Saccharomyces cerevisiae S288C: one gene and its partners. Changing the gene in region 3 together with the main gene of any one other region gives a genetic interaction. Each region holds a gene or a part of one and is shown on either strand. Other genes may lie near its edges. The genes, in order: CYC2, HAP5, PTK2 and DAL81.

Evidence for each region.
Region 1: mutations in PTK2 (region 3) and CYC2 together harm fitness more than expected from each alone (negative genetic interaction), as found in Saccharomyces cerevisiae (3 studies listed by BioGRID).
Region 2: mutations in PTK2 (region 3) and HAP5 together harm fitness more than expected from each alone (negative genetic interaction), as found in Saccharomyces cerevisiae (3 studies listed by BioGRID).
Region 4: mutations in PTK2 (region 3) and DAL81 together harm fitness more than expected from each alone (negative genetic interaction), as found in Saccharomyces cerevisiae (2 studies listed by BioGRID).

What each region holds. Positions count from the first base shown.
Region 1 is NC_001147.6:398,913-403,155, reverse strand, and holds CYC2 (oxidoreductase), read right to left. Parts: upstream 1,602-4,243; coding exon 501-1,601; downstream 1-500. Other genes in the region: HIR2 (Hir2p), read left to right, coding at 1-395; SNAP receptor PEP12, read right to left, coding at 1,942-2,808; SHE4 (She4p), read left to right, coding at 3,052-4,243. UniProt on the Saccharomyces cerevisiae protein: Redox component that participates in c-type cytochrome biogenesis in the mitochondrial intermembrane space. May play a role in the reduction of heme prior to its ligation to apocytochrome c by cytochrome c heme lyase. Has oxidoreductase activity in vitro.
Region 2 is NC_001147.6:1,008,297-1,011,972, reverse strand, and holds HAP5 (Hap5p), read right to left. Parts: upstream 1,813-3,676; coding exon 1,084-1,812; downstream 1-1,083. Other genes in the region: VTS1 (Vts1p), read right to left, coding at 1-784; SNX3 (Snx3p), read left to right, coding at 2,261-2,749; CIR2 (electron-transferring-flavoprotein dehydrogenase), read right to left, coding at 2,857-3,676. UniProt on the Saccharomyces cerevisiae protein: Acts a component of the CCAT-binding factor, which is a transcriptional activator and binds to the upstream activation site (UAS2) of the CYC1 gene and other genes involved in mitochondrial electron transport and activates their expression.
Region 3 is NC_001142.9:543,792-549,681, forward strand, and holds PTK2 (protein kinase PTK2), read left to right. Parts: upstream 1-1,995; coding exon 1,996-4,452; downstream 4,453-5,890. Other genes in the region: CDC8 (bifunctional thymidylate/uridylate kinase), read left to right, coding at 271-921; APS2 (Aps2p), read right to left, coding at 941-1,384; CBF1 (Cbf1p), read left to right, coding at 4,968-5,890. UniProt on the Saccharomyces cerevisiae protein: Essential determinant for high-affinity spermidine transport. Required for the activation of the plasma membrane proton pump PMA1 via phosphorylation of 'Ser-899'.
Region 4 is NC_001141.2:397,296-403,435, forward strand, and holds DAL81 (Dal81p), read left to right. Parts: upstream 1-2,481; coding exon 2,482-5,394; downstream 5,395-6,140. Other genes in the region: MRS1 (Mrs1p), read left to right, coding at 1-1,090; YIR021W-A (uncharacterized protein), read left to right, coding at 1,219-1,431; signal peptidase complex catalytic subunit SEC11, read left to right, coding at 1,438-1,941; INA22 (Ina22p), read right to left, coding at 5,546-6,140. UniProt on the Saccharomyces cerevisiae protein: Positive regulation of genes required for catabolism of GABA (UGA4, UGA1, and UGA2), urea (DUR1 and DUR2), arginine and allantoin.

The DNA of each region.
Region 1 (4,243 bases), on a different chromosome or scaffold from region 3:
ACGAACTTAATAGAAAGGGTAGGATTAAGAATTTACAGAGATTTGCTAGGACAATATTAATGAAAGAGGGATTTGAAAATATGGAGGAGATCGTAACTTTGTCTCACCTGGAAAATAAAATCCTAATAAGTATCAGATTGGAGGAGCCTGAAGAGTTTTCGAAGCTAATGATGGTTTATTGCATCCGTCTGAGTGAATTGGGGTATATGGACCGTTTGAACGATGTTTTTCAATGGTTATATGATGATCTCCCCATCAGTGGTACCGGGTCAGCATTTGCCGATAAAGATTTTAAGAGGAACCTTCTAAAAAAGATACTAATTGCATGCGGTGATATCAGACAGGTTCAAAGAGTTACTACACGTTATGCCAAGGAAATGAATATAATATCTTAGTTTGGCTTTAACAATGTATAGTTTAAACTCTTATATTTTTCATTATATTCATTATCTACAGTATGTAATATTATTGTAATTGCCTTCTTAATCTCGAACGTTAAATTATGAAAGTTTATACACATTATCGGAGTTCCAGCCTTCTTTGGAAAGTAACCCTCCTACTGGTCCCTGATTAAGATCGTATTTTCTTCCAGATATGCTACTAATATAACTTTCGGGGCCGCATACCAATGCCAACACAGGCATAATATTCTTGTTGTTAACGTTGGAAAAGGGGAGCAGACCTTTGTATGGGTAGGGCTTCGTGATTGATTTCTGGATACTTTTCAATACGTCTTGTTTAGTTTGTCGGTCTGTTTCAAAAATTTTTAACTGGACCCTGTTTGAAGCTTGAAGTCTTAAAAGGATAGGATACAAGGGTCCCAGTTGTTTAATGTTCTTATCCGTATGAAATAACTTTATAGTACCTCTAAATGGTGATTCAGTCAAAAGTAGTTGCAACGCAGTAACTATTCCGGTACCAGCGGTGAACATCATTATGTCATAAGGCTGGTAAATAAATTGGGAATTTTCTCTAACGTTATTGCCCCTTTCATTGCGATTATCCATGTATAAACAATCGCGAGATCTTTTTAGCTCATTAGGCAAATGAGGAAACTCATAATCGATAAACGGGCCTCTTATTTCAATTATATGTCCCTTGGGAAGATGGTGTAACCATCTTGCAACTTCTCCATTCTCATACTTCTTAATATAGAAAGATAATTTTCCATCTGCATTGTCACCATCTTTTAAGATTTCAATCTCTTTTGAAGCTGGGTTAAATTTAAGCGGTAGAGGCGTATAATTGCGGACCACCATGACTTCCGGTTGTTTGATCTCGACGGACCACAGATTTTCCGCAGTCATCAATGACCATATGTTAACTTTCTGCTTAAACAACGGAGTTACTTCCAATAAAAAATGTGATGAATCAATATCTCGCTTGTGTGAAATCTTGTACTTGACAAAATAAGATGGAGATAACTCATGTTTGTTTTCCCTCTCACTTGTGTACCTGTAGGTTAAATAACTGCTTACTGCTCCAACTGTCAGTAGGCAGCCTGTGATAAAAAAGTTCTTAGAGAAGCTGCTCTTTCTAGGTGACTTATGAAGCCTACGTGTTATTCGGGAACTGGATAGAACATAATTTTTCCACAGCATGCTACTTTTTCTTTTTTTCGTTTCCTCTTTTCTATTTTTGAAGGGTTCTTTCAACACGTTGCACTCTTCGAAGTTGTATTTTTCACTTGGGTTAAGTGAATTTTCACTCTTCATTAGGGTATGATGATATTAACAACATTTCAGAAGGGCAAGGAAAGGCGAAAAACTGAATTATGGAATATACTCTCTCTTTGCGGCTGGTTAAGATGCGACGGCGTAGAAATATTATGAGAGAGCCCATGCATTGTACAGTGAAAGTGCAAAACAAGTTCATTAACACGAATCTGTTTTAAGTGTATATATTATGTATATGATATTTGACGACGTGTGTTGGTTTGGTTTACAATTTCATAATGAGAAAAATAAAAAGAAGCATTACGAGAAGCACAATCAACAAATACACCCTCCATCTGCTCGTACGTTTTTGGTACCGCATGGCCTTCCTTAGCTCGTCTGAAGCCAATTGAGTGTTATCTGACGTTGTATAAATATTTGCTTCAATATTGTCAACTAGCACACCCTGCTGTTGAACAACACTTCCCAAATCTTTAAAAACTTCGTTCAGTTCCGTTATACCTCTTTCAATATTGCTGATTTCCTGGTCTCTTTGCTCGATAAGATTTTGCTGATAAGCAAACTCTTCGTTATTTATCGGGTCTCTCTCAATGACTATTTGGCTGCCTGGTATTCGAGTACTTTTTGAGCTATTCTGCCTTTGTTCTTCATCTAATAAAGCAGCATCATTTGCCATCTCACTTGCTTCAAGAGATTCTTTTGCTCTTTCATTAACTTGTTTCATTACTTGGGTAAACTGCCGCTGAATACCTTGAAACTCTTGAAAAGAGTAACTGACATCCCTCACAAGTTTCTCTCTCGCTATTATTTGAGTCTTATCCAGGCTAGCTTCCTCAATCGCATCCATCTTTTTCACTGATGTATTGACCTTTTTAATGAGCCCGCCTATTTCTTCTATCTTTGCCACAGATCTCTTATTAATTCTTTCCACAACTTTCGCACTAACATCTCCCCGATCTATAAATGACTTAAGTGTCGCGGTAAACTGCTGCAGCGTGCTTATTTGCCCATTTATTTCAAATAACTCTGCAGCAACCTCTTCTTTCAACGTTTGGAACTCAGGTGAATCACTGAATCTGGAACCGTTCCAAACGGCTTCATTATCACCACCAAAAAATTCGTCTTCCGACATCTCAACACAATTATTGTAGTAATTTACGTTATATTCTTCTATAAAAGCATTCTCTTTGGAGTGATAGCAGGCCTGTTTTATAGGGGATTATACTCTGGCGCAGTAGTTCATCGTCGATCATGATGATTATCAGCCGCGATAAGGCACGAAGGCTTAAATCCAATTACGAATCTTCTACTTAATAGTGAAGACGTTTTATCTAAACTACTCACATGAAAAGATTACTAAAAAATTAGAATCACGATGCCACTGTGTGAGAAAGGGAATGATCCAATCGATAGCTCTACTATTGATAGCCTCTGCGCTGCATTTGACAAGACTTTGAAATCCACCCCTGATGTCCAAAAATACAATGATGCTATAAATACAATTTTCCAGCTAAGGCAAAAATCTGAATCTGGGAAAATGCCGGCTGATTTAACGAATAGTGAAGCCCTTAAAGATCGTCAGAAAATCGAAGAAATATTGACCAGGTCTTACCAAGACCATTCTGAGTCCCGCGTACATTTATCTAAACTTATACAGAATGATATTCCCTTCGCACTCAATTTATTTGAAATATTATCAAGATCATCCATCCACGTTTTCGTTGGTTGCTTTTCCAATAAAGACGCAACAATTGCATTGTTAAATGAGCTGCAAATTAGGATACACTATGGCGAGGACACCCACGTCACGTATTTACTGAGCATAATTCTACAACTATTGAATAAGTTCAAGTACAATTTCAAGGAGGTGCGATTTTTAGTGAAGGAACTTATTTTGCGCATAAGCGAAGATGAAGTAAAATCGATGATGCTTATAATTTTTGCTGAATTACAATCAAGCTTCCAAAAAGACTTTGATAAAGCAGTGGTCGATTTCATGAGTAGCTTAATTGTGGAGGCAGAAATAGACGTTGGAAATGATCCATTGTCCATCATAGTCAAAACCCTATCAGAATTATATCCTTCATTGACAACACTTTGTTCTGAAATATTTTTGACCAAAGGACTAAGTAAGCTTTTTAAGAAGAGAGTATTCGAAGAGCAGGATTTACAGTTTACAAAAGAACTGCTGCGGTTATTATCTTCCGCGTGTATTGATGAGACCATGAGAACGTATATTACAGAAAATTACCTTCAACTATTGGAAAGATCACTAAACGTGGAAGATGTACAAATATATTCTGCATTGGTGTTAGTTAAGACATGGTCTTTCACAAAATTAACGTGTATAAACTTGAAGCAACTGTCCGAAATCTTTATAAACGCTATTTCAAGACGTATCATGCCAAAAATTGAAAATGTCAATGAAAGTGCGGTTAAGCTCGAGGAGGTTCCTAAAGTTGAAATGTCCGTTGAAGCGCTGGCATATTTAAGTCTAAAGGCCTCGGTTAAGATTATGATTAGGAGTAACGAGAGCTTTACTGAAATTCTATTAACTATGATTAAAA
Region 2 (3,676 bases), on a different chromosome or scaffold from region 3:
CAATATTCAAAATTTGTGTGTCATCCCTATTAGGTATAGGTGATGCAATTGCAGGTAGCGGTGGGGAGATGAAGGGAGTGTTTGTCAAAGTCTCTATTTTTAACTTAGTATATTTCAAAACATCATCATTCAAAATGGAAAGGATATTGTCCATTACAGTATTTTGTTGGCTGCTGTTCAGCATGGATATCCAAGAACATAATTGGTTGATGTCTTGGCTGAAATTGGTGCCCATGTTCGGATCGTTTTTTTGGGATTGAGACTGTTGTTGCGATTGACGGGATTGCGGCAAAGGAATTGAACCACTCTGCGATGGAATACCCAAAATATTATTTGGAGATCTCTGAAATGAATCCAAATACATAGATGTTGAAGATAAAGTAGATTGCAACGCCTTTGGAGATTGCATCATGGGGGAAACGATAGCAGAACCAGCTGCTGTAGACGAAACTGTTTGAATATTAAGGGAAGGCAACGACGCCTGCTGTTGCTGTTGTTGCTGCTGCTGTTGTTGCTGGAGCGGCTGAGCCCTGGTTCCCGCAGTGTCTAGCATAAAGGATTGCTGATCAAGCATGTCATTGAGTGACATACTATGGGATTGAGGGGACAAAACATTCGCGGTCACGGATGAATTGCCCTGGTTATTGCCAGAATTGCTGCCCGGATTGTTCTTGTTTATGGCAGAAGATTGTGGTGATAGCAAAACGGCGCCTGGATGAGCTCCTCTAGACATGTTATATGGTGACTTGGAACCTGTGGGGAATTCCTCATACGGATGTTTCATGATTTCTTTGCTGACAATTACTTTATATGAACAGTTTTTCTCTTCTGAAAACAATATCTATAGTATATACAGTGATCTAGATTGCCCAAGGGACGAAGTACCAGTGTGACTGCAAAACACAATGTATTCGAGACAATCCTATGGTAGTAGTAGTAGTCGTTGTTAGATATCTCATCGCCAATTTGCTACCAAACTTATTCTGGAAAAAAATAATGAAAAAAATTTGCGTTTTTTCTTTTTCCAACAGATAATTTGCTGTGGTGCACGGTCAAATGGCAGCTGTATAACCATTAACTCTCTCATTGTGGAAGAGGTCTTCTAGGCACAACATCGATGAGAAAGTCAAACATGTCACTCTTTTGCAGGGCCTCTGCGATATCTGCCTTCTGCAAAGTTCGTCTTTTATTCCTTTCTGCCACGCACCAAGCTCTCATAGTCAGTTCTGTAATAAAGATCTCACAGGCTTTGGCGAAAATGATGGGGGCCTCTGCACTAATCATCTTGACATCTTCATCCGTCTTCATGACCTTGCGGATTCTCGCAAATGGTAAGGAATGTGATTTGAAGTCATCTTGATGCTCGGAACCAGGTTCATTCGTAGACTCGATCTCGTTGATTAATTCTTGCCAATAACGGATCATTATCTCCTTGTAGTGGCCCACCAATCCCTGACCAACGTTCCTAAACACATCATACTCTTCATCGTCCTCGTCCATTTCTCCGTCTGCGCCGTCGCTGTTTCCATTATCTTCGCCTTCAAGCGATCCTCGACCACTTGGCGGTAGATTAGCTTGGTCATGGCCCGCCTGGATAGCTTGCAACTCCTGTACCATCCGGAACTCTTCCTCAGAAACAGGTAGCCTCGTATTTTCCCCTTCCCCTTCGTTTTCTTGCAGTTGTTGCTGTTCTGAATATTGCCTTGGCATATTCATTTCCTCTCTCTGAATCATCGTACTGGGTTGCGGTCCCTCCGGGAGCGATTCTTGAGGTCCTTGTCCTTGTTGTGGTGAGAAATTCCTATCAGTCATTATGCGAGTAAACAATCCTGATGCTGCAAATGCGTCACAACTCTTACATTATCTCCTATTCCCCTCTATTCTTCTTCTTTGCTTACGCGGTATTATAGCAGCTAAGGAAGCTTAATCTCCGGAAGCAATCTTAAGGGAGCCGTCCCACGCAAATTTAAGTTTAACTACGGAAAAGGGAGCACAACACTCTTCGATTTTGACATTTCGGGATTTCTACACTCTAGTAAGTATTGCGCTAGGAGGGACCATGATTTACTATGAGGACTTGGCTATGGGGTGCTCAGAATTGCATAAGTGAACTCGAGGATAGCTTTGGGCACTATCACGTACTAAGTGATATGTATTGATATGTAAACCTGCAATGAATGAATGGATTAAAACGGATCTTAATACTGCATAAAAGAGGACGGCAAGAACAGCTGAGAAGCGGTACGCATCTACACAAAGTATGCCAAGAGAATTCAAATCCTTTGGGTCTACAGAAAAGTCTTTGCTGTCAAAAGGACATGGAGAGCCTAGTTACAGCGAAATATACGCTGAGCCTGAGAACTTTTTAGAGATTGAGGTGCACAACCCTAAAACTCATATACCAAATGGGATGGATTCGAAGGGGATGTTTACAGATTACGAAATAATATGCCGTACAAACTTGCCAAGTTTTCACAAGAGGGTATCGAAAGTAAGGAGACGATACTCAGACTTTGAATTCTTCCGCAAATGCTTGATCAAGGAAATTTCTATGCTTAATCACCCAAAAGTCATGGTACCTCATTTACCGGGTAAAATTCTCTTGAGTAATAGATTTAGTAACGAAGTCATTGAAGAGAGGAGACAAGGTTTGAATACCTGGATGCAATCGGTAGCCGGGCACCCGCTTTTACAATCTGGTTCTAAAGTTCTCGTGAGGTTCATTGAAGCTGAAAAGTTTGTCGGCTGAAAAGAACTCTTTTACGTGAATAAATAATATAGATTATATAAAAGAATGAATAGAAAAATTTAAATAAATAATGAATAAAATAATTAAATAAATAATGAATCCTGTGATTAAGTTAGCGTGTACTTTGGTCCATCTCCACCTTCGGGTACTTTCCAAGTAATATCTTGTCTGGGCGCCTTAATATCACAGGTCTTGCAATGGATACAATTTTGTGAATTGATTTGCAGTCTCGTACCCACAGGCGATTTTTCATCTTTGACGAATTCGTAGACACCTGCTGGGCAGAACCTCGATTCAACACCTTTCCAAACGGGAAAGCTTCTCTCGGCGTACTTTACCATATCTTGTCCAGGAACCCTCAAGTGACATGGTTCATCATCATCATGGTAGGTTCCGGTTCTAGACACGGAGGTCAATATATCAAAGGATATCACACCATCAGGCTTGGGGTATTCTATCGGTTTGTACTTGGAAGCAGGTTCCAAAATTTCACCGTCATTTTTTTCATCAAATTTCAGTGTCCACGGAACTTTTCCCTTCAATATCAAAGAATCGATTCCAGAGTAGATCATACCACCATATCCACCAAGTTTCCCGCTGAAGGACGGTCTAATATTACGCACTTCGTATAGTTCCTTATATATCGATGATTCTTTGAATGCACTTTCATATGATTCCAAGTTAATAGTTGCCTCCTTATCAAACATAGCCATTTTGGCGTCTTCGTCTTCAACCTCTTCTAAGACAGGTAACCCTTTTATGGACTCAAAGATACTTTCAGCGGCAAGTAATCCACTCTTCATCGCAGTATGAGTACCCTTGATCTTTGGAACGTTCATGAAACCCGCGCTAGCCCCTACCAAAACACCACCAGGGAAATTCAACTTGGGTACAGATTGCAGTCCACCTTCATTCAATGCTCTTGCA
Region 3 (5,890 bases):
TTCCACGGGTCCATTTTTATAATTACGAAATAATTGTGCATTGGTAACAAAGGGAGAAAGCGATATCCTAAACTAGTAGGTTACAGTTGATAATATAAAAAGTTGGAAAATAGCTTAGAAATGAAGAAGAGAATAACGGCTTCTATGCGGTTGTGACTTTTGACGCGTTAGGCGTGGTGCTAAAGATGGCGAAAAAATGTAACGTCTTCCCAAGAAGTACGCTTCTAAACTAAATATGATTCATAGTGGACAGAAAGATCACCATTTTGAATGATGGGTCGTGGCAAATTAATACTGATAGAAGGATTGGATAGGACTGGTAAAACCACGCAATGTAATATTCTTTACAAAAAATTGCAACCAAACTGTAAACTATTGAAGTTCCCCGAAAGGTCTACCCGAATCGGAGGACTCATAAACGAATATTTGACGGATGATAGTTTCCAATTATCAGATCAGGCAATTCACCTCTTGTTTTCGGCAAATAGATGGGAAATAGTTGACAAGATAAAGAAAGATTTACTAGAAGGCAAGAACATTGTCATGGACAGATATGTTTATTCTGGAGTGGCATATTCTGCCGCTAAGGGGACAAATGGAATGGATTTGGATTGGTGCTTGCAACCCGATGTAGGGTTGCTGAAACCGGATTTGACATTATTTTTAAGCACTCAAGATGTCGACAATAACGCCGAAAAATCTGGATTTGGTGACGAAAGATACGAAACTGTTAAGTTTCAAGAAAAAGTGAAGCAAACTTTTATGAAGCTATTGGATAAAGAGATAAGGAAAGGCGATGAGTCAATCACGATTGTAGACGTTACTAATAAGGGCATTCAGGAAGTTGAAGCGCTTATTTGGCAAATCGTTGAGCCTGTTTTGAGTACGCATATTGATCATGATAAATTTTCGTTCTTCTAGGAGGATCTGTACATATATCCTAGTCTAGTCTATCTAAAATACTTAGTCTTTCTAACAGCATATCCTTTGAAATTTCTTGTATTTCCCCTCCAATAAACATCTCGTCCATTATCATATAGACTTTGTAAAAGTTGAATACGATATCCAGTTCACAGACATTGCCGAAAAATGCATCTAGCACCTCCACAAACAGATGGATGTGGCACAAATATATGGGTTCATCGTCAAGTAAGTCCACACCCATGACAAAATACAGACCCGCATACCTCCTGTATATGAGTTTCGTCGAATCGGAAAACTCTACGAAGTTACTCTGATGCTTATGATCTCTGGAAGATATGAGTCTATAAATCTGCGCAATGGCATCCTGGCTACGCTGAGGATCCGAACTGTGTACATCGAACCATCTCACCAACCGCACCACACCCTGCTTATTAAAGCACAGTATAAACTGTACTGCCATTTTTTTTATCCCTTACAGCAAACAAGTCTCCGTTCTTCACAAAATAACAGCACCAAACGCTATCTCAAGGCAAACGTTCTTAATGTACCTACTGAATAAACCATTCCTCCCCGTTTGTATCAAAAGTATCCGAAACTGTTCTATGCGTGCAAAATGATATGTCTTGCAAAACTATTGGAAAGACCCTTCCACTACAGGTACAGTTTAGAAATGCCGGAGCTGCAAGTACTACGTGCCGGCAGCATGATAAACATACCCGCGTCCTATAGCCATTCAAGCCTACATATATGGTATATACAACATGAACGCTTTAGTACGGTCACCCCATCTACAAGCATAACCTCTTGGGCAAAGGCGCAAATAGTTGCCACGTGCGAGTGCGGTGCATGGGTGGCTGTCTTTTCGTCATTGGCACGACCCCTTGCAGGTGGGAGGTAGAACCAAATAATATCCGGTTGACGGTAAAAGCAGGTTTATATATAGTGTTAAAGAAAGGTATTGTCACATCCCGTCGCTACCCTTATCCAAACCACGATATCGCACGCACACCAGGAAAGTAAAGTTGTGTAAGCCGTAGCAGTTTTTTACAGGTTAACCGATTGAATAAGATAATGGCGGGAAACGGTAAGGACAAAGAGGTAGATAAAAGTCCCTCTGTTAGTACTTTGAAACTATTGGGAAAACGCCTGTTTAATTCCAGCAGTCACACGGATAACTCTTCGTTACTGCTTAGTGCCGAACAATTGGGCAATGGGAGAAGTTTAAGAAAAAGGCCAACGTCTCCGTCCATTAGTGGCAGTGGTAGCGGTGGTAATTCACCTTCGTCTTCTGCTGGGGCACGGCAGAGATCTGCTTCTTTACATAGAAGAAAAAACAATGCTTCTGTAGGATTTTCAAATGGGTCTGTGTCGTCACACAAGTCCTCTGTCGCATTGCAGGACTTAATTAAACATAATAATAACCCTTACTTGAACTCTCCCTCTGATATTCTGGGCACAGGTACTGGCATTGCCTCGACAAGAGATAGGGATAGAGCAGTTTTGGATAGAGAAAAGGAAAAAGAAAGGGCGAGAAACAAAGAAAGAAATACTCATCACGCGGGCTTACCGCAAAGGTCTAATAGCATGGCTAGTCACCATTTTCCCAACGAGAATATAGTTTATAATCCATACGGCATAAGCCCAAACCATGCTAGGCCAGATACTGCATTTGCAGACACTCTGAATACGAATAAGGAGAACGATTTGAGTTTTTACATGCATGATGGTAACAGCAAGATACGGATGTTGCCCCTTCCAATTGCTAATCCGAACGATTTTTTGCCCGAAGATATGAAACAATATAGTGTCCATTTAACGGATAATTTCGTATTTGATACGGACAATAAACCTATTGGTTCGGGTGGGTCTAGTGAAGTTAGAAAGGTTAAATCAAGTTACAGGCAAAAGGATGTTTACGCTCTAAAAAAACTGAATATGATATACCACGAGTCACCCGAGAAGTTTTACAAGAGATGCTCCAAAGAATTCATCATAGCTAAGCATTTAAGTCATAACGTTCACATCACGAATACTTTTTATCTTCTAAAAGTTCCCACGACCACATATACAACTCGTGGTTGGGGGTTTATTATGGAACTAGGTGTTAAGGACCTCTTCCAACTGATGGAAAGAACAGGCTGGAAGAACGTTCCCTTCAATGAAAAATATTGTCTTTTCAAACAAGTGGCCCAAGGTATTAAGTTTTGTCATGACAATGGTATTGCTCACCGTGATTTGAAGCCCGAAAATGTTTTAATTTCTAAAGAAGGTATATGCAAATTGACGGATTTCGGTATTTCTGATTGGTACCATGTGATACCTCATGACTACACTAGTCCAGTGAAAACATGCCAAGGTATGATTGGCTCTCCACCATACACTCCGCCAGAGGTAATGTACTTCGATGCCAAGAAGCACTACCCCGAAAAGTTCCAAAAACCCTATAATCCGTTGGCCATGGATTCCTATGCCCTCGGAATCATGCTGATTACCATGATTAACAATATCATCCCCTTCATCGATTCTTGTAACACTGATGCGAGATTCAGGGAATTTGAAGTGTCATATGACAACTTCATCAATCATCAAAACCCACATTTCAGGGACAAGGGCTGCCACAAGCCGGGTCCTGGTTCCGAATACTCTTTAGCAAGAAATTTCAAGAATACTGATGCCACGCGTATCGCATGGAGATTGGCTGACCCGAACCCTGCAACTAGATATACAATGGATGATTTATTTAATGATCCGTTTTTCCAACAAATTGAAACATGTGTCGAGCCAAATGATGATGACTTAGTAAGGGTTCCTGAATTAAGGAAAAGTACTTCTACCAATGATTTTAGTGAAAATTCATTAGATGCACCCCATGATCAAGAGGTCATTCACACGTCTAATCCATTCCTAAAAAAGGAAACGCTCACTTCTAAACCAAGATCGATGTTGGAAATTGCAGAATCTCCTTCCTTGAAACAAAAATCCAAGGTAAAAGATAGCGCAAAGACCAAAACACACGATGTTGGGGATGAAGGGGGGAATGAAAGCACCAAACCTAAGCAGCAAGATAAAAAGGAAAATTTGAAGAAAGATGAGGTCAAGAACGGCGACAAGGACAAAGTCATTGAAGAGGCTACCACGACTAATGTGGACAGCATATTGGAAAAACCAACACCAACCTCCACAAAAGTAGAGGACAACTTAAGCGAAGATGATTCCACAATGAAGGAATTAAAGTCGATGCTAAACTCCACCCCTACTACACCAACACATAATGGCCCCACTCCGCTCCCTGCAAAGGCTGGCACTCAATTAGATAAGCGTATGAGCGACCTATCACTCAAATCGGAAACACCGGCTTCTACAAAGAACTTTAGCGCACCGAATGTTTCGTCATCAAGCAATTCACTGAGAAGCCTCGGAAGTCCAAGCGTGTCATCCTCGAAAAAGAAGAAGGTAATTCACCACCACTTGGACATTACCAACAGCGTTACAAACATGTCATCCGTGAGCGCCTTTATCTCAAGATAGACGTTAGGACTTCTTTAATTCCCTCTTTTATGCTTTAGTATCGTCATATTCTTTCATACCCTTCCTTATAAGCTTTTTATATAAAATATCCCACCGGGAAAAGATAAAGAACGGAAGATAAATCAAACAATGAAATAAAGCACACACATATAAATCCACATATGTACTTATATATTTTACTTCAAACAATAAACAAACATTTTATTATTTATTTTTCCCGTACATCGATGTACGTGATCGGTTTTTCTCATTCCTCTCGGATCCTTCGGGACCACCATGTCTCACCCACCAAGGTCAAAAAAAAAATAAAATCGGACGAGAAAAGTATTGGGCAAACAACAATTATCCACGTGCTTATCACGTTTTTTTATTTAATGTAGAATGTAAACCATTATACCTTAAAGATAAACACTTTGTTAATTAATCATTTTAGTTGGCGGTCATTTTCATTTCTGCTACAAGTACCAACATCAAGTGCTTAAAATATAATACGGTTTTCTACACTTTTATTAACGATGAACTCTCTGGCAAATAATAATAAGCTTTCTACTGAGGATGAGGAAATCCATTCGGCAAGAAAAAGAGGCTATAACGAGGAGCAGAACTACAGCGAGGCCAGGAAAAAGCAAAGAGATCAAGGCTTGTTGTCACAAGAGAGCAATGACGGAAATATTGACTCTGCTCTGTTGAGCGAAGGGGCTACGCTAAAAGGGACTCAAAGTCAGTATGAAAGCGGACTGACGTCTAACAAAGATGAGAAAGGAAGTGATGACGAAGATGCGTCAGTGGCTGAGGCTGCTGTTGCCGCTACCGTCAATTATACAGACTTAATCCAGGGCCAGGAAGATAGTTCTGATGCCCACACATCTAATCAAACGAACGCGAATGGTGAGCACAAGGATTCCCTTAATGGGGAAAGAGCCATAACCCCATCAAATGAAGGAGTCAAGCCAAACACCTCCCTGGAGGGAATGACGTCTTCACCAATGGAATCTACACAGCAATCTAAAAACGACATGCTCATACCATTGGCAGAACACGATCGTGGGCCAGAACACCAACAGGATGATGAAGACAATGATGACGCTGACATTGATCTCAAAAAGGATATAAGCATGCAGCCGGGTCGTCGTGGAAGAAAACCTACTACTTTGGCCACAACAGACGAGTGGAAAAAGCAAAGAAAAGACTCCCATAAAGAAGTCGAAAGGCGTCGCCGCGAAAACATCAACACTGCAATCAACGTTTTAAGCGACCTCCTGCCCGTGAGAGAATCAAGTAAGGCAGCAATATTGGCGTGTGCCGCTGAATACATTCAAAAATTGAAAGAAACCGATGAAGCAAACATCGAAAAGTGGACGTTACAAAAATTGCTTAGCGAGCAAAACGCATCGCAATTAGCCAGTGCAAATGAGAAACTGCAGGAAGAACTGGGAAA
Region 4 (6,140 bases), on a different chromosome or scaffold from region 3:
GTCTCCGAAGAATATAACAAGGTCGGTGATCCCGGCTATAGATTTGTATTGCCGCAAAGCAAATTTTAAAACTCTAAAATCATTGTCGATGATCCTAGGTAGTAAAAAAGAATGGTATGACACTAAAAAGGCGCCATTGAGAACCTTTTTGGTCTCTCGATGTGGCATTTTCGAGCAGTTGAGGGGTCGTCTCGTTGAAGATGGCAAAGTCAACTTGTTTAGTGTTTTCCTGACAAACGACTCATTTTCTTTTTGCAAGATGACCGTTGATGATAAGTTCAACACTAGCTTGGTCGATTGGCAAAAAATACCCTTTGACAGTACATTTGCAACTGACAGAAGACAGAATATCAGTTTACTACCTGTTGATACACTGTTTGCAACTGAAAAGATCATATCGATTCTTGGTGTATCTCCTAATATGACGAATCTTGTTTCTATAGAAAGAGAGCGATCAGACCTGGTGGATTTTAATTGTAAACTGCAATCAAACATCCTAGAACACCTACTATACGCGAAATGCCAAGGAGTGTACGTAACTTCTACCAATGAAAAAGCTCGTTTGCTTGCAGCTGTCTGCAATCCTGAATTCATTGACACCTTCTGGTGCGAATTGACTCCCATAAGAGTCTCATTAAAGGAAAACCCTTCCATTTCTGTACCTCGAGAATATCAGATGTACGATCCGGTGGTACGTGCCACTATAAAGGAGGTTGTCACCAAGCGATTACTGCGATCCGCCTTCGATAATGACATCGACCCGCTAATGTGTCTTCATTTGGATAAAGGCTGGAAACTTAAATTCCCCATACTATCCTCGACAACGGGCCTAAACTTCTCCCTGAAGGATTGTCTTTCCCTGGACACAGGAAAAGATGCATCTGATATGACAGAGGTGTTTCTCGCTACTATGGAGTCGAGTAAAGTTCTTCGTACGTATAGCAACCTCGTTGACATTGTGATGAAGGACAATGGTAGGTTGGACTCAGGCGTCCTAAAGCAATTCAACGACTACGTTAAGCAAGAAAAGCTCAATCTACAACATTTTCAGGCCGGTTCCTCAAAGTTTCTCAAAGGCGCAAAGATATAATCCTCTTATATAGCATGTAAATAGAAAGTACGTAAAAAAAAGCTACTATTGACTTTATTCTCCGTGAGGGCGGTTCTTTCTGTAGCTGTTGGTTTTTTCCAGATCTTATGTGACACACCTGCACAACAATGTCATTCTCTGTCAGCTGCAAGACTCCCAAGACCACGAAGCTGCTGGTATCTTCTATTTCAGAGAGCGCTGTTGCTCTTATTATTATTACCATACGTATACTTTTTTCCATTGGCAAAAGCGATTTCAAAAAAATAATCTCCAAGGAAATAAATGGTGCAGAAACAATATACTACAGAAATATACCGGAAAGTAAACCCCAAGGGAGTTAGCACAAGATGAATCTAAGATTTGAATTGCAGAAACTATTGAACGTTTGCTTTTTGTTTGCATCTGCTTACATGTTCTGGCAAGGCTTAGCCATTGCTACTAATAGCGCTTCTCCGATCGTGGTGGTGCTTTCAGGCTCCATGGAACCAGCTTTCCAAAGGGGTGATATCCTTTTCCTATGGAATAGAAATACTTTCAACCAAGTAGGTGATGTCGTGGTGTATGAGGTCGAAGGGAAACAAATCCCCATTGTGCATAGAGTTTTGAGGCAACATAACAATCACGCGGACAAGCAATTCCTCCTGACCAAAGGTGACAATAACGCCGGCAATGATATCTCACTATATGCTAATAAGAAAATTTACTTGAACAAGTCAAAGGAGATTGTAGGGACCGTCAAGGGCTACTTTCCACAACTAGGGTACATTACGATTTGGATTAGCGAGAACAAATATGCCAAGTTTGCATTGTTAGGTATGTTGGGGTTGAGTGCTCTGCTGGGGGGCGAGTAGTTCGCCAAGTTTTTTTGGAACGATGTTTACGTACTTTGTATTTGTGCTTATGGTCTTTAACTTGTTTAATTATATAACCATAACCATTCGGTCCACGCTGAAAACAAAATATTGTCTTAGGACACGCTTTGAGAATTATTGAAAAAGGAGCTCCCACAGTGATGTAGGCAATTCAACAGAGATGATTTGTGTCATTTTTTATAAGGTGATACCGTCGCTCATTAACTCGATATCTTGAAAAGGCATATGTGTCGGTAATTGAGACCGCTAGGTTTAACTTCTCGAATAAAAAATGGTCTAAGCTGCATAAGCATATAGAATTGTACAATCAGTGTATAGGTAGAGCAGAAGCAGTCCAAGATTCGAGCTAATAATACTCATATAATATCCATCGCGATGGGTATTATATGAAACATAACAATCGTACATGGTGATTGAAAATAATAGATGATAAGAATCATTTTCAAATAATAGTGTAGATCTTAAAAACTCTTGGCCTGTTTAGACGAGCGGCAGAACGACAGGCAGCCATACTATCAAATGGACCCTCACCAATCACCAGCTGATAATGCCGCATCGCCTACGAAGAGCGTGAAGGCAACCACTAAAAATTCGTCCACGAATAATAATGTCAATAGCAACAACAGCAATAATAACAGTAACCATGATATACTGAATTTTAATGATAACTATACTACCATTCTGCAACATTTGGCAAACGACCATCCTAATATACTGAGGGAGAAAGGAGGATCACAACAACAACAGCATCAGCAGCAGCAACAACAGCAACAACAGCAGCAACAACAGCAGCAACAACAGAGCCTGGATACCCTTTTGCACCATTATCAAAGTTTACTCTCCAAGAGTGATAATGCAATAGCCTTTGATGACAATGTTAGTAACAGCGCAGATCATAATGGCAGTAATAGCAACAATAATAACAACAATAATGACATATCTAGTCCCGGTAATCTGATGGGATCTTGCAATCAATGTAGATTAAAGAAAACAAAGTGCAACTATTTTCCCGACCTAGGCAACTGTCTCGAATGTGAAACGTCAAGAACTAAATGCACCTTCAGTATTGCTCCAAATTATTTGAAAAGAACGTCCTCTGGGGCAAACAATAACATGCCAACCTCTTCAAACTCCAAACGAATGAAAAATTTTGAAGACTATTCGAATCGCTTACCCAGTAGCATGCTCTATAGACATCAACAGCAGCAGCAACAGCAACAGCAGCAACAGCGTATACAATACCCCAGATCCTCTTTTTTCGTCGGTCCGGCCTCAGTTTTCGATTTGAACTTGACCAAGCATGTAAGACTAGATAATGTTGACCAAATACAGCTATCAAAAACTTTATCATTAAGAAAGGTGTCTCCTACCGCACAGTTTATTCTTCAGGACGATTTTGACACGACCCTTCATAGTAAGCAAGAATACGAAGTTGATTTGGTCGAAAATCTGGTACATCCGCACGGTCACCTTTTAGTAGAGATTTTCTTCAAATTGATTCATCCTTTTCTTCCAATTTTACACGAACGTGTATTTTTGGAAAAGTATTCTAGATCTTATAGAGAACTCACTGCGCCTTTACTGGCATCCATTTACTCACTGGCATTACAATATTGGGATTTTCATCCTGCACTTTTGGGGTTCCCTAAACCCGATGTAACTGCTCAACTAAACAATATCGCATTGGAAACATTTTATGCTCGAGTTGGAAGGCCAAAATTGAGCATTATACAAACAGGCCTTTTGATTTTGCAATGCCGTAGTGAATGTCATAACAACTGGGTCCTCTGCTCCAGCGTAGTGGCCCTTGCAGAGGAATTGGGGCTCGGGGTTGAATGTAATGATTGGAAACTTCCCAAATGGGAAAAAGATTTGAGAAAGAGATTAGCGTGGGCAGTTTGGTTGATGGATAAATGGTGTGCATTAAACGAAGGTAGACAATCCCATTTAATTTTAGGTAGGAACTGGATGATCAAGCTATTAAACTTTGATGATTTTCCTCTGAATTCGCCCACTATTTTAAATTCCTTGCAAAATGACCAGTCGGGGTCTTCACCCTCGTCATCAAATGATGTGAAAAACCATCAGATAGCATTTGGTAACTTGCCCATATTTAACATAAACCCCACTTTAGAAGATTTCAAGAATGGAACGCTTATGTTTCAACAAATGGTTTCCTTGAGTATAATTCTTGGGGAAATCATGGACACATTTTACACTCAGGGATCCATGACAATAAACAAAAGCATTGAACAGGTATTGAAACTGGCAAAGCCGTTGCAACTGAAATTAAGAGAATGGTACCATTCCCTACCCAAGAATTTGTCAATGAGTTATGCCACGCCACAAAAATTGAACTCAAATTCAACTTTAACTCTAGCTTATTTTGCCACGGAAATTACGTTACATAGGAAAATTATCTGTGCCTTGAATCCTCAAACTCCAAAGGAACTGGTTCAAGTATGCAGGACTGCTGCAAGAACCAGGCTTGTAGCAGCAATTGAATTTATAAGAGATCTAAAAAACGAACATATTAATGCTTTTTGGTATAACTGCTCAACTGGAAATCTGATGCTAATTGGAACATTTGCTGCCCTGCTGTATGTGACTTCAGCTACGAAGGAAGAGGCTATGATTTTCAGAGATTATGTTAGAAATTATACCTGGGTATTGAAGATAGGTTCCAAATACTTTGATAAACTATCGAATGCTTTGAATAATATGCATTTACTATTTGCACAAATTCCTGGTCTTCTGACCGATGAACCGGTGGTCGTGAGCCCTAACTCTAACATCAATTCCGTTAACCCACAAAGGTCAGGTGTACAATCGCAAATCCCAATACAATTTAACGTGGGATCACCTGCCATGACCGAGCAAGGATCTCCTTTAAACCAGTGGAAGAATTTGCCCCAGGAAATCTTGCAACAACTAAACTCCTTTCCCAACGGTACGACCAGTACAACAACGCCAGTAAACCCCACTTCCAGACAAACACAACTAGAATCGCAGGGAAGTCCAGCCATAAATAGTGCTAATAATAATAGCAACAACACGCCTTTACCATTTGCGCCAAATAAGTCTTCTAAAAAAACTTCACAATCTTCACCAAATGTTACGCCCTCTCATATGAGCAGACACCCCCCCTCTAATACATCTTCACCAAGAGTCAATTCCAGCACAAATGTCAACTCTAATACACAAATGAATGCTTCTCCCTTGACCTCAATTAACGAAACCAGACAAGAGTCAGGTGACGCTGCAGATGAAAAAACAGCAGGAAGAGAAAGAACCGCCAACGAGGAATCATCAACGGAACTCAAGGACGATAATCCAAACTCGAACCAGGAAACAAGCGCAACTGGTAACCAAACTATAAAAATGAATGATGATAAAAATGTAACAATTAACACAAGGGAAACCCCTCTGTAATATAAATAATAGCACATAAGTAAAAATGGAATACGGTAATAACTATATAGAAATATCTTCTGCAGGACCAAGGTTACTGAGTGGTGAATGTAAAATTATTTATTCGCTTGCGTTATATTTACATGTGGTATATCCGGATGCATAGAGCCTACTATAGAAATTTTGGGATTTTATCATGTTCTTTGGCGATTTCATTCAAATCACCTGGTTGGTTCATCATCATATGGACATCACCACTTAGGTAAACCTTTTCATCTTCTTTTTTCGACTTTTCTAAATCTTTTAGAACATTCAAATCAGTGACAATCCCTTCTTTGTTCTTAACGCCAGCATCTGGAGTTTTTTCGATTACTTCTTTTTTTGCCTCGTCTATTATACTTTGCCAGATCTCTTCCAATGACTCTTCCTTAGGAACCACAATATCAGTCTCATCTTCCTTCATCCCAGTTGCGTTCTTGCCGACGATTCCTAAACGCAAATTCACAAGTTTCAATTCATCATCTGCGTCGAAGTCTACCTTTCCATTATTATCATGAACCCTCCGTATCAGCTCTTTCAATTTATCAAGTTTTAGCTTATATTTCCTTTCCATATCAATAATGTTCCTTTTCTCGGCTATTACTGCGTTTAATATCGACCCAAATATCATTACCAAAAGTAAAGGTTTGATCATTGTTTTATCAAATCTTGACTTTCTCTTAATGCCCGCATTTGCTGATGCAACAGTTCTAGCGGTTATCTTTATG